Coturnix japonica: one gene and its partner. The protein of the gene in region 1 binds, or shares a complex with, the protein of each later gene. Links are inferred from orthologs where the notes say so. Each region holds a gene or a part of one and is shown in the gene's direction. Other genes may lie near its edges. The genes, in order: TIMM10 and TIMM9.

Region 1 (2,644 bases):
CACTCCCAGCATCTCCTGCCATGCTGACCTCACTCACAGCATCCCCTACTGCCTCCCCCTTAGCCTCACTCCCACAGTTCTTCTCTGCTTCTACCTCGCCCCCAATCCTCGTATCCCCTGCACTCTCCCCCCCAGCGCCCCCTTCATCCCCCCCAGCCTCCCCCTGCCCTTCCTGTGCTGCACTTTCCCCGCTGTCCCCCCCCACCATCCCCTCTGTGGGCCCTGTTGATGTCTGTGTGAGGTCACCCAGGGCAGTGTCATTTGGGGTTGGGGCTCCATCGGTTGTTGTGGACTCCATGCTCCTACTGTGGGCTGCAGGGTTGTCACTGAAGTATCCACCGTGCCTTCCACCCCATGCAATCCCATTGCACTTCTGTCCCTCAGCGTTCCTCCTGCCCGCCCACCCCATCGGCCCCAACACAGCTCCCAGTCCCCATCCCATCCCCATTATTTATCCCTTCCCATCCACCTCGACCCAACCCCCACCCCCCACTCCTGTCCCCAAACCCCTCCCTCCCCCCTGCACACCCCAACCCAACCCATTCCCCATTCATGTTTTCCTCCTGCCCCCTCCCAGCTCCTCCAGCTCAGTCCCAACTCCACAACTCACTCCCTACCCCCAACCCCGACCCCCCTCCATCCCGTCCTATCCTCGTTTCTCACCCCAAACCCCCGACGTCCCCCCCAGCCCCCCGGCGCCCCATATCCCGGCTCACCGCTCTCCGCTCTCCCCGCGGCCGTGTGACCGCCGCAGGTGCCGCCTTCAGTCAGCGCCGACGGGGCGGGTCGGGGGCCGGAGAGGGGCACAGCGGGGAGGGGACGGGACGGGACGGGGGGGAGAGGAGGCCGGGCGGGGCCTGGGGATAGCGGGGACTGCGGGATGGAACGGGGACACAGGGACACGGACACGGGGGGACGCGTGCACGTGAGGACATGGGGGGACGTGGAGGCGATATCGGGGGGATATGAGGGTCACGAGTGGGCACGGAGACACGGCACATGGAGGAGATGGGTGATGCGTGGGACACGAGGGGACACGGGGGACACATATATGGGAGAGAAGGGTGACAAAGGGAACACAGAGTGCCCTGATCTGTGGGGGGACATAGGGGACACATTGACATAGAGGGACACGGGGCCATAGACCCGTAGCAGACACAGACACGAGGGGGCAGAGCCGTGAGGGCAGACCCACGGGGACACGCGGAGGTCACGCGTGGGCCGGGCCGGCCCCGATCCATCCCTGCCCTCCATCGCCTGCCCCCGCCCACCCCGCTCCGCACCGCTCCCCACGTCCCATCAGCGCTGAGAACGAGCCGTTGTCCCGCCCCCACCCGTCTCCTATTGACCGAGAGCGGCGGCGGGGCGGAGCGCCTGAGCGTGTGGGCGGAAGCGCGTCCCACGTGCATCCTGCGGGAGCGCGGTGCGGGAGCGACATGGACCCGCTGCGGGCACAGCAGCTGGCGGCAGAGCTGGAGGTGGACATGATGGCCGACATGTACAACCGGTGCGCGGCCTGACGGGACGGGCCGGGGCCTGGGGGTAGTGCCCGGGACAGGGAGGGGCTGGGAGAGCGAGAGGCGCGTGGGTGTCGCGGGTGGGGGCTGTGCGGGGGCTGTGCGGGTGCCGGGGGTGGGGGGTGCCGGGCAGAGCCGTGGGGTGACGGTGTTGTCCCTCAGGATGACGCAGGCGTGTCACCTCAAGTGCGTGCCCCCACACTACAAGGAGGCGGAGCTGTCGAAAGGCGAGAGCGTGTGCCTGGACCGCTGCGTGGCCAAGTACCTGGATGTGCACGAGCGGATGGGCAAGAAGCTGACGGAGCTGTCGCTGCAGGACGAGGAGCTCCTGAAGCGCATGCAGCAGGGCACGGGCACCGCCTGAGCCCTCCCTTCGGACTCCCCTTCCCATCGTACCAATAAACTGGAGGCTCTGGGCCAGCTGTGTGCTTCCCTCGGCCCCCCAAACCCGTCTGTGGTGCTGTGTCAGGGGGTGTCCCACTAACCTACTGGAGATGGGGGCACCCCGGCGTGTCTGCTGTGCCCACGTCAGCCTCGGGGATAGGCTGAAACCTTCCTTATCCCTTATGGGGTCAGGACAGGGCTGTGCCCCTCACTCTGCTTGCTGGGGGGACACTGGGGAGCACCTGGAGAAATGGCCACAAAGGGACACCTGCAGGGGGGCAGTGAGAAAACAGCACACCTGCATGGGGACAGGCACAGAGACATTTGGTATGGATGGCTGGAGAGGGACAGTGCCCTTTCCACACCTGGAAAAGGACCACACAGGGACACCCACGTGGGGACACTTAGGGGGGGACACCTGGATGGAAACAACCCCAGAGCCACACATACAGATGTGCACACATGTGTAGGGAAGACCTGCACAGGGTTACTAGATGGGAACACCCAGCCAGAGACACCCCAGCCTGGGGGTGGGCACTGTGTGTCCATCCACCCGTACACACACAGTGCGCCTGTGCCGGTGTGTCCCCGGGGCTGGCTGGAAGTGGGTCAGGCTGCGCGCACACTCACTGTCCTCACAGCTTGTGGGTCGCATTACGCCCCACCGTGAGCCTGTCGTGCAAGCAGTGGGTGTGCAAGGTGCTGCAGGCGTGACAACGGGGTGGCATTGCTGAGTGTAACGT
Region 2 (3,440 bases), about 42 Mb from region 1:
CCATACAGTACTGGACCTATTTAAGCACTAACCTATTTAAACACAGCATTTTGGACCTATTTAAACACAGGATTTTATGCTGAACCTGTTAATGGGCACTAAGTTTTCCTGGTGAGCTGTCATTGGAACGTTACCATCACCAAACAGCTCATGGAGCTGTGTATAAGAAAACAATAGAGATTTAATTTTTTTAATGCTGATGGTGTTTTTAATTTTTACTGCAGTTCAAGGAGTTCCTGGGAACATATAATAAAATTACAGAAAGCTGCTTCATGGATTGTATAAGGGATTTCACCACCAGAGAAGTTAAACCAGAAGAGGTATGTCAATGTTTCCTGTGCTTTTAATTACCCTTTGGGTAGAATTTCTGTTTAGTACTCAAACTTCAGAAGCAATTTGGAAAGTCTGATCTTTCAGTTAGCTGGAAAGCTCGTTAGCTGTCAGTGGAGGTGTTCTGGCACACAGCTTCCAAGTGAGAAGAGAGATGTGCTGGTAGAAATGTTTGCCCCCACAGCTCTGGCTGTTCAGTCCAGTTCCCTAAAATTACAAAACGATGACAACGGGGAGCTCCATCATGTACTCATCTGCCAAAAGAAAAGGCTCTGGATCAGATGAGTTACGTTCTCCTTGTTTTTCATGGCTTGTTGGGTGGCTGCTTCAGAGTGGTATAATTATGTTGGTTAGAAGACTTAATAGCTTTGTTTAACTCTAGCTTTCCTGCTACCAGGAAGGAAAAACAATCCAAAACCCAACTAAACCACACATAAAGACTGAAACCAGCCACTTTGTTGGAGCATTTTCTGCCTCCTTAGTTTAACAGCTGCCTCTCAGTGCAGGCAAAAATCATCTCTCTGCTCAGCTTTTGTTTTGCTGCATTAAACCAAGCTCTCCTGGCTTCCCAGGACTGATTCTTTGTTCCCATGATATCTCCTGCATTTGCTTTGCTGGAAATTCTCTTGACTGCAGGTGGTCAGAACTACTCTGAATAAAGTCTTGCCATTGCCTTTCACCAGCTCCTTTTTAGCTGCCTGAGCTATACAAGATGCTTTTCCAAAGCATCTGGTTGTGGCCCTCGTGGATATGGGATACTGGTCTAAATGGATGACTGGTCTGCTCTGATCATAATTCCCTATTTAAAGTTATAGCTCTTTAATAATTAAGCCAAACGCCTCCACGGATCTCCTTGGAGATGCTGCATTTGTACAAGCAGCTGCTGCCCTCCTTCCATACAACACTCTGCACTGCAAGTCTAGACTTCCCCAGGCAGGGTATCACAAACACCACGCCCTCTGGGAGATGTGGCTTGGGGTGCTTTTAGAATTGAACAGCATTTGTTTCCTGGTCAGACTTAACTCCTGCTTAACAGGTTTTACTGTAACTGATGCCAGGTCAGGGAGGGAGAAAGAGAAAGTGGAATGGAGAGAGTGTACATCTGCAGGTTCTGTGTCTTTTCTCTTCCTCTCTGCTTTCTGCATCCCTTTATACTGAGCAGAATCAAAGCAGTTTCTGGTTTTCTGTTAATCATGCAGAGCTTTCATCTTTCTTTTCTATCTAAGCGTGATGACTTCTACAGTGATTGAAAGGTTTGGAACCAAAATATCTGACTGGTAGAACTGTAACTCAGAAATAGATCCCATGGCTTTTTCCTTTACAATAGAAAGAAAGAGAGAGAAAGAGAGAGAGGGAAGGAAGGAAGGAAGTTTAGGGCTGTTCTGTGAAGGTGAACCAGGCTGGTGCAAGACGACTGCTAGAGTTAATAGGAACAAGGTCAAAAAGAGATTAACCTGAGCTAACACGCAGTGGAGCAGATTTGGCTGTCAAAAATAGGTGTTTGCAAACCTGGATTCAGAAAAAAAGGGGGGAACCTAAAAAACCTTTTCTCAGGTTTAGTGTTTACTGCAAAATAAAATCCTTTACGTACTTCATTTCACAAGAGCAGCCCAAGGATGAAGCGTTAATATCTCCTAGCTCTAAGGTGTTTTCCATGAAGACCTTTTTATGAGAGTGCAATTAAAAGACATTTCAAGCATTCCTCAAAAACTTAAGCTTATCGTTTTCTACTGCATAGAGAGACTGTGAACAATTAAATCCTGAGCTGTGAGCCTAACACAGAGCATGAGATGTAGTCAACCAATCTTACAAACCTGACTATTGCACTTAAGTTCTGCTGTGGTTTTTCATCACTCTTTGAAGCTGTTTTTCTCTCCCTGCAGATAACTTGCTCAGAACATTGCCTACAGAAGTATCTGAAAATGACACAGAGGATCTCCATGAGATTTCAGGAGTATCACATACAGCAGAACGAAGCTCTGGCAGCTAAAGCAGGACTGCTCAGCCAACCTCGTTAGACAGGAGCACTCTGTTCAGACTTCATAAGCAGTGCCAGTGTTCACTGGGCAAGAACACCTTTTGGATTTTCTACTGTCAAGATGCATGTCCAGAAACTCTGAAGGTTGTTCTAGATGCTGTTTGGAAGCTGGAAGCCACGGAGGGTAATGCAAAGAGTTAGGGAGCGCTGTCTGACAGCAGAGTCTCTTTCTGAGACTCTCATTCCACTCTGCAGTGTATTGTCAGGGCCCACAGACCACTATATTGCAATTTCAAAGGGAGGGGAAAGTTATGCTTTTCCTTCTGTTAGGACTGATTCAGAGGCAAAAGAAGTGTAATGCGAAAATACGTTTTTTAATTTAATTCAAGTAAAATATATGGAACCATACAGTTGTATGTATGTTTTTTCCACAGGTAATTTAGGATGCTGTTTGAGAGCCATGCTTTGTTTGCAGTTTTATTCCTCACCATCCTCCTATGGAGTCTCATTCATTCTTTGCTGCTTGAAGCTGCTGACTGATAGATAACTCAATTAATTGGTTTTAGCAGGTGGGGATTTGTGAATGTTACATCTCTCAATTTGGGGAGAACTTTTGTTTCATTGCCAGCTGCTCTCTTAAAGCCTTACGATCTTTCTGACTGCAGCCTATTAGAGCTTCAGGCCAAGAGCTACTGTAAGCAGCAGTCAGCTGCTGTAACTAATGAGTTCTGGTAGGCAGGGGAACCTGCCAGCTTGTCCCTAGGTTATGTTGGCCTTATGCTTCACCAGGTCATTCACAAGTGACAGTAATGTGTCATTAACAGCACCTTTGCCAAAGGCATTGTCTCAGCACTCCTTGTTTCTCTCTGGGGGACCCAGTGTTCCTCCAGAACTGGCTTTGCTGCTGGCTGTAAGCACGATGTGCTCCAAGCACGGAGCTTGCTGGCAAGTTCCTCCTTTCTGTTGGCATTCACACAATTAAGTGTGAATAGATACGTACAAGGCGATGCCTTTTTATCTGCTGCTGAATGACTGCAGAGCAAAGTCTGAGAAAACTGTTCTGATTGTGTGCTGTTGGCTCAGGAATAAACACTGCTGCTTTTGAAAGGATCTTGATAGCTGAGATCCTACA

Evidence for each region.
Region 2: the proteins of TIMM10 (region 1) and TIMM9 are in contact, whole or in part, in a crystal structure (PDB 2BSK), measured with the Homo sapiens proteins. The link is inferred for Coturnix japonica from reciprocal best matches to the Homo sapiens genes TIMM10 and TIMM9. Residues at the interface, in NP_036588.1 of Homo sapiens: Glu16, Met17, Asp20, Met21, Arg24, Ala28, Cys29, Lys32, Cys50, Arg53, Cys54, Ser56, Lys57, Tyr58, Asp60, Ile61, His62, Arg64, Met65, Gly66, Lys68, Leu69, Leu72; in NP_001291414.1 of Homo sapiens: Lys15, Leu18, Gly19, Tyr21, Asn22, Lys23, Thr25, Glu26, Cys28, Phe29, Leu30, Val33, Asp35, Phe36, Thr37, Thr38, Arg39, Glu40, Val41, Glu45, Thr46, Glu50, Leu53, Leu57.

What each region holds. Positions count from the first base shown.
Region 1 is NC_029520.1:7,775,089-7,777,732, reverse strand, and holds TIMM10 (mitochondrial import inner membrane translocase subunit Tim10), read left to right. Parts: upstream 1-1,368; 5' UTR 1,369-1,436; coding exon 1,437-1,507; intron 1,508-1,679; coding exon 1,680-1,881; 3' UTR 1,882-1,968; downstream 1,969-2,644. Other genes in the region: SMTNL1 (smoothelin-like protein 1), read right to left, coding at 1-409.
Region 2 is NC_029520.1:50,197,534-50,200,973, forward strand, and holds the end of TIMM9 (mitochondrial import inner membrane translocase subunit Tim9), read left to right. Parts: intron 1-224; coding exon 225-320; intron 321-2,213; coding exon 2,214-2,348; 3' UTR 2,349-2,716; downstream 2,717-3,440. UniProt on the Homo sapiens protein: Mitochondrial intermembrane chaperone that participates in the import and insertion of multi-pass transmembrane proteins into the mitochondrial inner membrane.